Linked DNA regions of Macaca fascicularis. The protein of the gene in region 2 binds, or shares a complex with, the protein of the main gene of each other region. Links are inferred from orthologs where the notes say so. Each region holds a gene or a part of one and is shown on either strand. Other genes may lie near its edges.

Evidence for each region. The genes of interacting proteins can lie anywhere in the genome.
Region 1: ARID1A (region 2) and SMARCD1 share a complex: the UniProt entries of both Homo sapiens proteins name them as parts of the neuron-specific chromatin remodeling complex. The link is inferred for Macaca fascicularis from reciprocal best matches to the Homo sapiens genes ARID1A and SMARCD1.

What each region holds. Positions count from the first base shown.
Region 1 is NC_088385.1:56,920,322-56,928,291, forward strand, and holds part of SMARCD1 (SWI/SNF-related matrix-associated actin-dependent regulator of chromatin subfamily D member 1), read left to right. Parts: intron 1-447; exon of another isoform or gene 448-491; coding exon 492-593; intron 594-849; coding exon 850-1,011; intron 1,012-1,101; coding exon 1,102-1,199; intron 1,200-4,747; coding exon 4,748-4,883; intron 4,884-7,172; coding exon 7,173-7,295; intron 7,296-7,970. UniProt on the Homo sapiens protein: Involved in transcriptional activation and repression of select genes by chromatin remodeling (alteration of DNA-nucleosome topology).
Region 2 is NC_088375.1:208,326,085-208,333,924, reverse strand, and holds the end of ARID1A (AT-rich interactive domain-containing protein 1A), read left to right. Parts: intron 1-1,530; coding exon of another isoform or gene 1,531-1,650; exon of another isoform or gene 1,651-1,886; intron 1,887-2,186; coding exon 2,187-3,920; 3' UTR 3,921-5,272; downstream 5,273-7,840. UniProt on the Homo sapiens protein: Involved in transcriptional activation and repression of select genes by chromatin remodeling (alteration of DNA-nucleosome topology).

The sequences.
Region 1 (7,970 bases), on a different chromosome or scaffold from region 2:
AACACACCAGAGCTCAAATGGTGGCTCCGCCACTTATTGGCTGTTTGACCTAGGCAAGTTACTCTATTCTGCTGAGCATCGTTTTCTCACCTGTAAAATAAGTATAATTGTGCCTATCTTGTATAGATGTTTGGGAAGTGAGATAATCCAGGCAAATGTCTTAGAATACTCTCACACGTAGTTAAGTACTCAGTAAATGATAGCTATGTTATGTTACTGTTCACATGTGTATTATCCATTTTGTGGATAGAATTATCACTGGACATTCAGGCTTATTTAAATGCAACCACAAACAGAATTAAAAGGTTAATCTACTTATACACAGACAGTAATCCCAGAGCCATATGCAGTTTTTTAAAATGCCTCATGCTATTGCTCTTCTCCAGTAGCCTCAGTAATCAAAGTTGAATATTCAGTCATTACAGAAGCTCTTCCCTCCCACCCCAGCTCTTCCTCTGGGAGAGCACCCCCTGACATCTTCCTCTCTGTAGTGGCACAGGACCGCCACTACCCAGGAGACCGATGGCTTTCAGGTGAAGCGGCCGGGAGATGTGAATGTACGGTGTACTGTCCTACTGATGCTGGATTACCAGGTATTCTGTGGTGGTGTGAGGGGGTCCAGCTTTTACAGCCATATCCTGTCAGCGAGCTCACTTTAAAGGGTTTATGTCTAGTTGTGAATAATTTGCCACTTTGTCACAGAGATAGAGTCTTAGTCATCTCTGAGTTCTTCCTAGAATGTTTCTGTCCCAGAAAAAGCACTACATTGTTGTTGAATAGTTTGAATGTATTGCTGCATATAGACCCAGCTAACTAGCTTCATCCCCTATACCCTTTGGTTCCCTGCAGCCTCCCCAGTTTAAATTAGACCCCCGCCTAGCTCGGCTCTTGGGCATCCACACCCAGACTCGTCCAGTGATCATCCAAGCACTGTGGCAATATATTAAGACACATAAGCTCCAGGACCCTCATGAGCGGGAGTTTGTCATCTGTGACAAGTACCTGCAGCAGGTAAGTAATGGACCCATTCTTTTGCTAGAATCCATTAGAACACTAGCTACACTCAAAATGCTAAGCTCGTGCTTCTCTCCTTTGCCACAGATCTTTGAGTCTCAACGTATGAAGTTTTCAGAGATCCCGCAGCGGCTCCATGCCTTGCTTATGCCACCAGAACCTATTATCATTAATCATGTCATCAGGTAGGCCTGTGTGTGGGAGGCAGTGCTGTGCCGGAGCTGCCTTGTACCAGTTTGCACAAGCTAGTTGTCAAATTTTCAGGAATTTTGCAAATAGGTTGTTAAACACAGCTGTTACTTTACAATTAAATTACATAAACTTATAATTAAATATATTAGTCTAAAAGTGGGTAACATATACTCAAAATGTATTACTTTCTCATTATTACATTTTATTGTATTTGTGCTCTTGAGGTTATTTTTGCCTGTTGTATACATCTGGTGGAAATATGATATAATGATATGATGTGCTTATATGTTATTGTGCATCTCTTCTCATGAACAGTAATGTAATGTTGGTAGCTTGAAATCAGAATTTTTTTTTTTTTTTTGAGATGAAGTTTCATTCTTGTTACCTATGCTGGAGTGCAGTGGCGCAATCTTGGCTCACCGCAACCTCTGCTTACTGGGTTCAAGTGATTCTTCTGCTGCAGCCTCCCACATAGCTGGGATTACAGGCATGTGTCACCATGCCTGGCTAATTTTGTATTTTTAGTAGAGATGGGGTTTCTTCATGTTGGTCAGGCTGGTGTTGAACTCCTGACCTCGGGTGATCCGCCCGCCTTGGCCTCCCAAAGTGCTGGGATTACAGGCCTGAGCCGCTGTGCCCAGCCTTTTGTTTTGTTTTGTTTTGAGATGGAGTTTCGCTCTTGTTGCCCAGGCTGGTGTGCAGTGTCATGATCTCGGCTCACTGAAACCTCCACCTCCCGAGTTCAAGCGATTCTTCTACCGCAGCCTCCCATGTAGCTGGGATTACGGGCACCTGCCACCATGCCCAGCTAATTTTTTTATGTTTTTAGTAGTGATGGGATTTCACGATGTTTGCCAGGCTGATGTCAAACTCCTGACCTCAGGTGATCTGCCCGCCTTGGCCTCCCAAAGTGCTGGGATTACAGGTGTCAGCCACTGAGCCCGGCCGAAATCAGATTATTTAAAGCCCAAAGATCAGCAAATGCACGTATCTGGGCACTTCCTCCTGCTCTCCTTTGGAAGATCAGTTGTTAAACATTTACCAGCTCTTCACTGATGGAAGAGCTCAGTGGCCATCTTTTCTCTGGATGGTACAGCATTCTATTCTGAGCCTCCAATTCCATTACTTCTATTCACTTTTTTGTTTAGAGGATGGAGAGCAAGGCATCTCTAGGCAGATAGGAAGTGAAGAAAATTCCTTCTCAAAGAAGCATGGCTCTGTAGTTGGATATAGTCTCTTTGCCTTTCTTCCTTTATTCCATATTAATTCCAGTAAGGACTTTTTTTTCTTTTTTTTTCTTTTCTTTTCTTTTTTTTTTTTTTTTTTTTGAGACAGAATCTCATTCTGTCGCCAGGCTGGAGTGCAGCGGTGCAATCTCAGCTCACTGCAACCTCCACCTCCTGGGTTCAAGCGATTCTCCTGCCTCAGCCTCCTGAGTAGCTGGGATTACAGCATGCCAGTACGCCCCGGTGATTTTTTGTATTTGAGTAGAGATGGCGTTTCACAGTGTTGGCCAGGATGGTCTCGATCTCCTAACTCTGTGATCCACCTGCCTCAAGCCTCCCAAAGTGCTGGGATTACAGGCACGAGCCACCACGCCTGGTGGGCTTTTTTTTTTCTTTTGACCCTGAACCTACAAGATGACAGAGAGGGAGAGGGGAGAAAAAGAAGAAAGATAAGACCCTGAACCATTACTTACGCAGTAGTAACTCCTCGACCTATAAATTAGGTCAGTAGAAGTTGGTCTGTCCTGTATTCCTATGCTTAAAGTTAGACCACTTTTAATTTTGTGTTTGACTTTATTTTTGGGGTCAATTTTAGTTTAAAAGGGAGAAAGCCAGGCACAGTGGCACGTTCCTGTAGACCCAGCTACTCCAGAGGCGAAGGTGGGTAGATATTTGAGTCCTGGAGTTCGAGTCCGGCCTGGGCAACATAGCAAAATCCTGTCTCTGAAACAATGAAAAAAAGTTTGTTTGGTCAGGTGTAGTGGCTCACGTCTGTAATTCCAGCACTTCGGGAGGCCAAGGCGGGCGGATCACAAGGTCAGGAGTTCAAGACCAGTCTGGCCAATATGGTGAAACCCCATCTCTACTAAAAATACAAAAATTAGGTGGGTGTGGTGGTGGGCACCTGTAGTCCCAGCTACTTGGGAGGCTGAGGAAGGAGAATCGCTTGAACTTGGGAGGCAGACGTTGCAGTGAGCCGAGATTGTGCCACTGCACTCCAGCCTGGGCAACAGAGCGAGACTCCATCTTTAAAAAAAAAAAAAAAAAAGCTTCGTTTGTTTAAACATATATAGAGTCTCGCTCTGCCAGACTGGAATGCAGTGGCGTGATCTTTGCTCACTGTAACCGCTGCCTCCCAGGTTCAAGCAATTCTTGTGCCTCAGCCTCCCAAGTAGTTGTCATTACAGGCATGCGCCACTTTTTGTATTTTTAGTAGAGATGGAGTTTCACCATGTTCGCCACACTGGTGTTGAATTCCTGGCCTTGAGTGATCTGCCCGTGTTGGCCTCCCAGAGTGCTGGGGTTACAGGCATGAGCCACCACACTTGGCCAAAAAAGTTTTAAAAATTATTATTATTATTATTTTTTTTTTTTTGAGACAGAGTCTCTCTCTGTTGCCCAGGCTGGAATGCAGTGGTGTAATCATGGCTCACTGCATCCTCGACCTCCTGGGCTCAAGTGATCCTCCCACCTCAGCCTCCTGAGTAGCTGGGATCACAGATGTGTGCCACCTAGCCCAGGAATTATTTTGAAATTTTTTGTAGAACCTGGGGTCTTACTGTGTAGTATAGGCTGGTCTCAAACTCGTGGGCTCAAGCAGTCCTCCTACTTCAGCCTCCCAAAGTGTTAGGATTACAGGCATGAGCCACCATGGCTCGCCAAAATTTTTTTTTTTTTTTGAGACCATCTCACTCTGTCACCCAGGCTGAAGTGTAGTGGCATGAACTTGGCTCACTATAACCTCTGCTTCCCAGGTTCAAGAGATTCTCCTGCCTCAGCTTCCCCAGTAGCTGGGATTACAGACATAAGCTACCATGTCTGGCTAATTTTTAGTAAAAATGGGGTTTCACCATGTTCCTGACCTCAGGTGATCACCCACCTTGGCCTCCCAAAGTGCTGGGATTACAGGCGTAAGCCACCATGCCTGGCTGCCAAAAATTTTTTTTAAAGGGAGAAAGATATATAGGAGACTGTAGCAGTGATTTCCTTTGGAGAGGAAGGAACTGCTTTTCACCAGATACCTTTTGTACTGCTTCAATTTTTACCATTGACTTTTTAAATAAATAACTTTATTGAAGTATAATTTATATATAACAGAGTATACCAACTGAAAGTGTAGTCTGAAGATTTTTGCCTGATCTGTATACCATGTAGCTGCCACAGTAAAGTATAGAACATTTCTGTCACACCCAGAAGTTGTTGGGCCCTTTTGCAATTAGCCCCTTTTCTCTTCATCCTGGGTCATCTTTTTGACCCTGTGTAATTAGGTCTTAGGGGACAAGCTCTTTACCAGGCCCCTTTGGTTTCCTGTCCAGTGTTGACCCGAATGATCAGAAAAAGACAGCTTGTTATGACATTGATGTTGAAGTGGATGACACCTTGAAGACCCAGATGAATTCTTTTCTGCTGTCCACTGCCAGCCAACAGGAGATTGCTACTCTAGACAACAAGGTAGGGGTCTGTGCCCTGGACGGTTGGGTACCACCAGCCCCTATCACAGCTTCAAGGCCTCCTTTTGATTTTTAGTGTTCATTCAAAATATGGCGACACCCAGTATATGTCAGGTACTGTGCTTGGTGCTGGTTTGAGCCAGACTCAAATGAATTCTGATTGTGGGGATACTCTCAATAGCGCTGAGCCTCAGTTTCTGATTTGTGGAATAGAGACCATGGTACCTTTTTTTTTTTTCTTTTTTCTTTTCAGGAGTCTCACTCTCTCGCCCAGGCTGGAGTGCAGTGGTGCAATCCTGCCTCACGGCAACCTCCACTTCTGGGTTCAAGTGATTCTCCTGCCTCAGCCTCCCAAGTAGCTGGGATTACAGGCACCCACCTTCACACCTGGCTAATTTTTGTATTTTTAGTAGAGACAGGGTTTCGCCATGTTGGCCAGGCTGGTCTCCAACTCCTGACCTCAAGTGATCTGCCCGCCTCGGCCTCCCAAAGTATTGGGATTACAAGCGTGAGCCACCATGCCCAGCCCATAGTACCTATTTTAATCAGGTTGCTATGACAATTAAATGAGGGAGTATATGTAAAGACTTGAGTCTGTATCTGGCACATATAAAAACAACAAATGGTAACTTCTGCTACTATTATTGTTATCTGGATTGTTGTTATTAGACACAGTCCTTGCAAATAAAGCCAAAAGTGCTTTGGGAACACGAAGGAAAAAGGGAGGCTTTGCTGGAAGAGTTGATGCCCCAACTAAATCTTGTTGTTTTTTTTTTTTTTTTTTTTTTTTTTTTTTTGAGATGGAGTCTTGCTCTGTCGCTTAGGCTGGAGTGCAATGGCGTGATCTTGGCTCACTGCAACCTCCGTCTCCTGGGTTCAAGTGATTCTCCTGTCTCAGCCTCCTGAGTAGCTGGGACTACAGGTGCCCGCCACCATGCCCAGCTAATTTTTGTATTTTTAGTAGAGACGGGGTTTCACCATATTAGTCAGACTGGTCTTGAACTCCTGACCTCAGGTGATCCACCCGCTTCGGCCTCCCAAAGTGCTGGTATCACAGGTGTGAGCCACCGCGCCCAGCCCTAATGAAATCTTGAAGGACAAAGTAGGTGTTAATGAAAGGGCAAAAAGGGTAGTGGTGCTGGGGGTATAGGAGGCAGAAGACATTCCAGAAAGAGGGAATAGGGCGTGTAAAGATCCAGAGAGGAGAGAGAGAGCCTGGTGTCTTAAAGAAGTACCAGCCATTTAGTGTGCTAGATACAGCATAGAGTGCCAGGGATGGGATGTTTTGGGAAGGAAAGCTAGATAGGGAGCCAGATGCCTAATCATGAAGAACCTTTGATTCAGGGAAGACTGGTTTATGTTTCATCCTGAAGACTGTGTTGAGAGATCATTACCAGTGGAGGGACTGATGCTATTTGTATGTAGAATCATCATTGCAGGAAGGTGGAGAATAATTTGTCAGAGGGCAGGGCTGGAGGCAGGAAGCCCAGTTAGGAGGCTGGTGCAGTAATCCATGTGAGACGTGTTGAGGCCCTACATTTACAGTCCCGACAGTCAGGGTGGAGATAAGTAGATAGATTTGAGAGGTGTCAAAGTGCAATTGAAGGAATTTGGCCACTGTTGGGATTAGAGTGAGGGGTGAATGAGAAGGAAATGTTATGATGCCTCCCAGGTCTCTAGCTTGGGTGGATAGTAGTATTTACTATGACTGGGAAGAGGGGAGGAGGAGGAGCAGGTATTGGAGAAAGGGTAGTGAATTTAATTTTAGAGATGTCAAGTTTAAGCAGTCGGTTTGGTTGGAGTATAGAAAATAGACTCTGGGCTACAGACTGGGGACTCATTATACTGTCAGTGGTAGTGGAAGACATACAAGTCAAAGAAATTGCTGGGAGGAGTATGTAGAATGAGAAAAGAGTTGAGAACAAAACCCAGAGATGAGAGCTTATGAGACAGCCCCATATGCCAGTCCTTTTCTTCCTGAGAACACTTTTGGACCCATTTGGGCTGTGGAGTAAGTATTCATCATGTAGCTTTGCCCATAGTGGGCACTGAGGAGACCAAAAGGAAAACTTTCCTCACATGGGGTGTACAGAGAGACACAAACAAGAGCAAATTACCTGCTGAAAGAATGCCAAGGGTCGGAGCAGTTGGAACTTTATATGATGGTACCAGCTGTGGGCAGCACTGTGACTAGGTTGGGAGTGGCATGTGGAGTTGTCAGGCACCACCTGCCATTTAACTTCTCATTTTTCTAGTTTGAAAATGGTATGGGCTTCGTTCTTCCTTTCAGATCCATGAGACAATAGAAACCATCAACCAGCTGAAGACTCAGCGGGAGTTCATGCTGAGCTTTGCCAGAGACCCTCAGGGTTTCATCAATGACTGGCTTCAGTCCCAGTGCAGGGACCTCAAGGTAAAGAACCTAGGAGAGGTCTGAAGGGACTTAGGTCAGTGAGGCACACACCTCCTTTATTTATGTAGCAGCTGGTAGAAGACCCAGAGGAAGGAGTAAGGGGCCAGATTTTTCTTTAGCATGTTCCAGGGTCCATTTTGCAATTAAGCAGGGAAATGGGGGCAGACCCATCACGTGTTGATTTAGTACTTACTTTGTCTGTCACTGTGCTTCATCTTGTCAGGGATACAGAGTGGAAGACCTGATCTCTGCTTTCAAAGCAGCCTACATTCTGTCTGAAGAAACTAGGCTAGTATAGCCGGGCACTGTGGCTCACACCTGTAATCCCAGCACTTTGGGAGGCTGAGGCCGACAGAACGCTTGAAGTCAGGAGTTTGAGACGAGCCTGGCCAACATGGTGAAACCCTGTCTCCACTAAAAATACAAAAATTTAGCCGGGCGTGGTGGTGTGCACCTGTAATCCCAGCTACTTGGGAGGCTGAGGCAGGAGAATCACTTGAACCCAGGAAGCAGATGTTGCAGTGAGCCAAGATCCTGCCACTGCACTCCAGCCTGGGTGACAGAGCGAGACTCCATCTCAAAAAAAAAGAGAAACTAGGCTAGTGTGATACAAAGTAGTAAACCAGGCCGGGCGCGGTGGCTCAAGCCTGTAATCCCAGCACTTTGGGAGGCTGA
Region 2 (7,840 bases):
AGGTTCACATAGCTGTCAGTAGAATCTATCTGATTCCTAAGCCTGATTTTATTTCCATTGCATATTATTGCCTACCATGAGAAAGGAAAAATTTTGATAGAGCAATTTTCATATGCCAGGTATTTGACATCTCCCATTTACACCTCAGAATAACCCTGTAAAGTTTAGGAATTTTTATTTTATACAGCTACTTCCTGGAAAAACCAGAATTTTTTTTTTTTTTTTTTAAGAGACTCTGGCACCTAGGCTGGAGTGTAGTAGTGCCCTCATGGCTCACTGCAGCCTCAAACTTCTGGGCTCAAGTGATCCTCTTGCCTCAGCCTCCTGAGTAGCTGGGACTACAGGCAAATGCCACCATGTCCAGCTATTTATCTATTTTGAGACAGGATCTCCATTACTCAAGCTAGAGTGCAGTGGTGCAATCACAGCTCACTGCAGTCTCGACCTTCCAGGCTCAGGTGATCCTCCCACCTCAGCTTCCCAAGTAGCTAGGACTACAGGTGCACGCCAACATGCTCAGCTAATTATTATTATTATTATTATTATTATTATTATTATTATTATTATTATTTTGAGAGACGGGGCTTCACCATGTTGCCCAGGCTGATCTCAGACTCCTGGGCTCAAGTGATTCACCTGCCTCAGCCTCTCAAAGTACAGGTGTGAGCCACTGCTCCAGGCCCCAGCTAACTTCCTTATTTTTTGTAGAGGCATGGTCTCACTGTGTTGCCCAGGCTGGTCTCAAACTCCTAGGCTCAACTGATTCTCCCACTTCAACCTTCCAAAGTATTGGGACTACCGGCTGGGAGCAGTGGCTCACGCCTGTAATCCCAGCACTTCAGGAGGCCGAGGCAGAAGGATCGCTTGAGGTCAGGAATTTGAGACCAGCTTGGCCAACATGGTGAAACCCCGTCTCTACTAAAAATACAGAAATTAGGCTGGGCGTGGTGGCTCACTCCAGTAATCCTCACACTTTGGGAGGGAGGCCAAGGTGGGTGGATCAGTTGAGGTTAGGAGTTCAAGACCAGCCTGGCCAATATGGTAAAACCCCATATCTACCAAAATATAAAAATTAGCCGGGCCTGGTGGCACACCTGTAATCCCAGCTACTTGGGAGGCAGAGGCAGGAGAATCACTTTGAACCCAGGAGGCAGAGGTTGCAGTGAGCTGAGATTGCACCACTGCACTCCAGCCTGGCCAACAGAGCGGGACTCTTGTCTCAAAAAAAAAAAAAAAAATACACACACACACATACACACACCCCACACACACTATCCCGATGTGGTGGCAGGCGCCTGTAATCCCAGCTACTCGGGAGGCTAAGGCAGGAGAAGAATCACTTGAACCCAGGAGGCGGAGGCTGCAGCCAGCTGAGATCACACCACTACACTCCAGCCTGGATGACAGTGAGACTTTGTCTCAAAAAAAAAACAAAAAAAAGTGTTGGGATTACAGGTGTGAGCCACTGCTTCCAGCCCCTAGATCTAATTTGAAAGCCCTTATTTTTTTCCCATCTGCTCTACTGTTCAGCCAAAGATTGTGACTGGAGAGGAGTGTTTTCTTCTAGAGGTAAATAAATGGCCTATATATTACCCAAGGTGGAATTTGGGTCTCTGTAGCCCCAGTTTGGACCAGTGTTTGGAGAGCTGAAGCCTCATCCCACTCCTTATGCTGCAAGATCCATGGAGTTCCAGCCCCCTGGACTATTGGGGAGCTTGGAGAAGAGAGCCATGAACATCTGCCCACATTGCATTCTCTTCTCTTAGCTTGAGTCACCATGCCTAAGCTTGGGTTCCACTTGGCAGTGAGATGGAGAGAATGTCCTAAAAGAGATAATATGGCAGTGACCACCAGGTTGGAAACTGGCCTGGTGAAGAACAGCAGAAGATTGATTGGGAAAAGAGAAGGCTAAGAGATGACTGGCCCTGGTGGGTGAGGTGCAAAGCTGTTGGCTAGTGTTCCTGGAGATAGGCTTATGTGAAGGTAGGTTGGGCAGAAGAAAGAACTTTGTGTTGGGCATAGAAGAGATTAAGATGAACAATTTGCTCTGTGGAGAACCTTTGGGAAAGGAGCAACTCTGCCTCTCCCAGCTGATACAGAAGACTTGGGGAGGTCTCTCAAGTCAAGGATTCTGTTCTTTGACCACTTTTATCCCTTAATTTATTTCCTGTTCTTTCTCTTTTTAGCTCCCAGGGTTGCTAGAGCTCCTTGTAGAATATTTCCGACGATGCCTGATTGAGATCTTTGGCATTTTAAAGGAGTATGAGGTGGGTGACCCAGGACAGAGAACGCTACTGGATCCTGGGAGGTTCAGCAAGGTGTCTAGTCCAGCTCCCATGGAGGGTGGGGAAGAAGAAGAAGAACTTCTAGGTCCTAAACTAGAAGAGGAAGAAGAAGAGGAAGTAGTTGAAAATGATGAGGAGATAGCCTTTTCAGGCAAGGACAAGCCAGCTTCAGAGAATAGTGAGGAGAAGCTGATCAGTAAGTTTGACAAGCTTCCAGTAAAGATCGTACAGAAGAATGACCCATTTGTGGTGGACTGCTCAGATAAGCTTGGGCGTGTGCAGGAGTTTGACAGTGGCCTGCTGCACTGGCGGATTGGTGGGGGGGACACCACTGAGCATATCCAGACCCACTTCGAAAGCAAGACAGAGCTGCTGCCTTCCCGGCCTCATGCACCCTGCCCACCAGCCCCCCGGAAGCATGTGACAACAGCAGAGGGTACGCCAGGGACAACAGACCAGGAGGGACCCCCACCTGATGGACCTCCAGAAAAACGGATCACAGCCACTATGGATGACATGTTGTCTACTCGGTCTAGCACCTTGACCGAGGATGGAGCTAAGAGTTCAGAGGCCATCAAGGAGAGCAGCAAGTTTCCATTTGGCATTAGCCCAGCACAGAGCCACCGGAATATCAAGATCCTAGAGGACGAACCCCACAGTAAGGATGAGACCCCACTGTGTACCCTTCTGGACTGGCAGGATTCTCTTGCCAAGCGCTGTGTCTGTGTCTCCAATACCATTCGAAGCCTGTCATTTGTGCCAGGCAATGACTTTGAGATGTCCAAACACCCAGGGCTGCTGCTCATCCTGGGCAAGCTGATCCTGCTGCACCACAAGCACCCAGAACGGAAGCAGGCACCACTAACTTATGAGAAGGAGGAGGAACAGGACCAAGGGGTGAGCTGCAACAAAGTGGAGTGGTGGTGGGACTGCTTGGAGATGCTCCGGGAAAACACCTTGGTTACACTCGCCAACATCTCGGGGCAGTTGGACCTATCCCCATACCCCGAGAGCATTTGCCTGCCTGTCCTGGACGGACTCCTACACTGGGCAGTTTGCCCTTCAGCTGAAGCCCAGGACCCCTTTTCCACCCTGGGCCCCAATGCCGTCCTTTCCCCGCAGAGACTGGTCTTGGAAACCCTCAGCAAACTCAGCATCCAGGACAACAATGTGGACCTGATTCTGGCCACACCCCCCTTCAGTCGCCTGGAGAAGTTGTATAGCACTATGGTGCGCTTCCTCAGTGACCGAAAGAACCCGGTGTGCCGGGAGATGGCTGTGGTACTGCTGGCCAACCTGGCTCAGGGGGACAGCCTGGCAGCTCGTGCCATTGCAGTGCAGAAAGGCAGTATCGGCAACCTCCTGGGCTTCCTAGAGGACAGCCTTGCCGCCACGCAGTTCCAGCAGAGCCAGGCCAGCCTCCTCCACATGCAGAACCCACCCTTTGAGCCAACTAGTGTGGACATGATGCGGCGGGCTGCCCGCGCGCTGCTTGCCCTGGCCAAGGTGGACGAGAACCACTCAGAGTTTACTCTGTACGAATCACGGCTGTTGGACATCTCGGTATCACCGTTGATGAACTCATTGGTTTCACAAGTCATTTGTGATGTACTGTTTTTGATTGGCCAGTCATGACAGCCGTGGGACACCTCCCCCCCTGTGTGTGTGTGCGTGTGTGGAGAACTTAGAAACTGACTGTTGCCCTTTATTTATGCAAAACCACCTCAGAATCCAGTTTACCCTGTGCTGTCCAGCTTCTCCCTTGGGAAAAAGTCTCTCCTGTTTCTCTTTCCTCCTTCCGCCTCTCCCCGTCCACCACCTCACGCCTTTCTGTTCCTTGACCTCACCTTGCTCCCCTCAGGACCCCACCCCACCCTCTTTGAAAAGACAAAGCTCTGCCTACATAGAAGACTTTTTTTATTTTAACCAAAGTTACTGTTGTTTACAGTGAGTTTGGGGAAAAAAAAATAAAATAAAAATGGCTTTCCCAGTCCTTGCATCAACGGGACGCCACATTTCATAACTGTTTTTAATGGTAAAAAAGAAAAAAGGAAAAAAATACAAAAAAAAAAATTCTGAAGGACAAAAAAGGTGACTGCTGAACTGTGTGTGGTTTATTGTTGTACATTCACAATCTTGCAGGAGCCAAGAAGTTCGCAGTTGTGAACAGACCCTGTTCACTGGAGAGGCCTGTGCAGTAGAGTGTAGACCCTTTCATGTACTGTACTGTACACCTGATACTGTAAACATACTGTAATAATAATGTCTCACATGGAAACGAGAAAACGCTGGGTCAGCAGCAAGCTGTAGTTTTTAAAAATGTTTTTAGTTAAACGTTGAGGAGAAAAAAAAAAGGCTTTTCCCCCAAAGTATCATGTGTGAACCTACAACACCCTGACCTCTTTCTCTCCTCCTTGATTGTATGAATAACCCTGAGATCACCTCTTAGAACTGGTTTTAACCTTTAGCTGCAGCGGCTGCGCTGCCACGTGTGTATATATATGACGTTGTACATTGCACATACCCTTGGATCCCCACAGTTTGGTCCTCATCCCAGCTACCCCTTTATAGTATGACGAGTTAACAAGTTGGTGACCTGCACAAAGCGAGACACAGCTATTTAATCTCTTGCCAGACATCGCCCCTCTTGGTGCGATGCTGTACAGGTCTCTGTAAAAAGTCCTTGCTGTCTCAGCAGCCAATCAACTTATAGTTTATTTTTTTCTGGGTTTTTGTTTTGTTTTGTTTTCTTTCTAATCGAGGTGTGAAAAAGTTCTAGGTTCAGTTGAAGTTCTGATGAAGAAACACAATTGAGATTTTTTCAGTGATAAAATCTGCATATTTGTATTTCAACAATGTAGCTAAAACTTGATGTAAATTCCTCCTTTTTTTCCTTTTTTGGCTTAATGAATATCATTTATTCAGTATGAAATCTTTATACTATATGTTCCACGTGTTAAGAATAAATGTACATTAAATCTTGGTAAGACTTTTGTGAAGCTTTTTATTTTCAAACTAAAACTTGACCTTTGTCGGGGGGTAGGAGGTAGTCCTGTTTTTGCAAACCTCCCTTAGTGTGAGATCTCCCCTAAATAGTGGCATCTGTCCAAAATAAGACAACCATTTATCTGGAGGCAACCTCCAACTTAATCACTTGTAATATCTCTGGACTGGCTCTTTTCCCTGACTCCAGACTAGAGCATTCAGCCATCTTCTTGTCATCCCTGCTTGGAAGTTTACTTTGAACATGCCAAAGCTAAAATGTCCTGTCTTTCCCCCACTAGAAACCTGCTTCTACCATAGTTTTGGTTTTTTGTGTTTTCCTTTCAGTAAATGGCAACTCCATTCTATCACGTGCCAAAAAAATCCTTGACTTCTTTCACTTCCACATCCAATCTGTTAGCACTCTACAAAGTAATCCTCAATCCCGCACTACTACTGTAGTTCAAGACACTGTTATATCTTGGATTCTTGAAATACCTCCAAATTGGCCTCCCTGCTTCTGCTTTGCCTGGTTGAACCTATTCTCAACAGAACAACCAAAAGGACCCCTATAAAAGGTAAGTCAGATAAAATGCCTTCAGTGCTTCTGGCTCTGAGTAAGTAAAAATCCAGACTCGCCGGGCGCGGTGGCTCACGCCTGTAATCCCAGCACTTTGGGAGGCCGAGGCGGGCGGATCACAAGGTCAGGAGATCGAGACCACGGTGAAACCCCGTCTCTACTAAAAATACAAAAAATTAGCCGGGCGCGGTTGTGGGCGCCTGTAGTCCCAGCTACTCGGGAGGCTGAGGCAGGAGAATGGTGTGAACCCGGGAGGCGGAGCTTGCAGTGAGCCGAGATCGCGCCACTGCACTCCAGCCTGGGCGACAGAGCGAGACTCCGTCTCAAAAAAAAAAAAAAAATCCAGACTCAAAGTGGCCTACAAGGCCCTGAGTTATCTAGCTTACCTCTACCTTTCCTGCACCATCCGTCTTGCCCGTTACTCACCCCACTGTACAGAGATGTTTCCACCTTGGAGTCTTTGTACTTTCTACTCTCACCAAATAACTGCATGGCTCAAGTCCTCAGCTGCTTCAAGTCTTTGTCCAAATACATAAGTAAGACTTTTCCTGGTCACCTTACTTAGAATAGCAATCTCTGCCCCCCAACTACATTTCCCTTGTCTGCCTAATTTTTCCTGTGGCACTTGTTACCATCTGGCCTATTACAAGTTATACTTACCTGTCACCTTCCACTGAAATGTAAATTGAGGGTGGTGGGAGGGTTAATTTGTTCTCTGGTGCATCCCTGTGCTAACATACAGCCTGGCACATAGCATCTACTTTAGTAGTAGTTGAATGATACTGTCAATGTTGGCTAGATGGAGTTGCTTTTATGAGGCTAATGTCACAATGTATAGTTTCTCTGTTCACCCCCTTCCTTAGGGAAACTGAGAAGCCTCAAGTTCCTCAGGAGAAATCAGAAGCAGTAAGAGAAAAAAATGCTATTACTGTGGACACTTAGAAGTGAAATCTGAAACAAACAACAGTTTTCTATTGTGTACCTACTTATATTCTGGACATAACACATCACAATCCTACAACAATCCTGTGCCTGTGAAGTCAGTATGTGGCTCCCATTTTACAGCTGAAGAAAGAGGCTAAGAAAAGTGAAAGACTTAAGTTCATACACCAAGCAAGTTCCACCTGACTCCAAGGATCATGCTTTTCTTAATATGCCACACTACCTTCTTTCTTGTCATCCCTGCTTGGAAGTTTACTTTGAACATGCCAAAGCTAAAATGTCCTGTCTTTCTGGATGTCCATCCTTTCTGGATGAGAACCCAACCAGGAGTAAGGGATCTAGCTGTGGAGCTCAGCAAGCAAGATTTGTTTTTATTGTCTTTAACACAAGGTAAAATTGTCCTAAGAATTTCAATCAAGTGTTCATTAGACTAAGTGTGGCTGTTAATATTTGGGTCAGGAACAGGATTTGAATAATTAGTATTTCTCAATTGAGAAAGGAAAACCTTTGTCAACCAAGATGCCTTCCTAGGACTCTTCTAGAAAAAGTTAAATGGGAAGTTTTTCATATCTACAATTTTGGTAAGCAATATTGCTAATGGCTATTTTTGTTCTGGGTCTCGAGCTCCGTTTGCTAGTCTAGAAATGCATATCTGGACTGTGTGTGGAGCATTACCTAGGAGTTCGGTTTCCTGGGTTCCTTTCATCTGCTCTCCTGCAATGCAGGGAGAGCCTAGCCTGGTTCCAGTTTCTGACTGGAGTTACCATGGCCAAGAGAACTGCTGGCCAGTGAGCTGTGAGTAATTTGCTTTTGAGAAGTAAATAGAACCTAGCCAGCAGAGAACCCAGGGGTGTGGCCAGTAGTTCTTTTCCCAGGCTCCTCCCTCCCCACCCCCCAAATGACCTTAACCTTCTTTCATAGCTGGAGAGCAGCCAAGTCCAGCCTAAACAATACTCTAAACCTCATTGGCTCTTTTGCCTTGTAGCCACTGCCACCCCCAAGTGGCTAAGGCCTTCCCACTAGGCCACTCAGTGGGGTCAAGGTTTTCTAA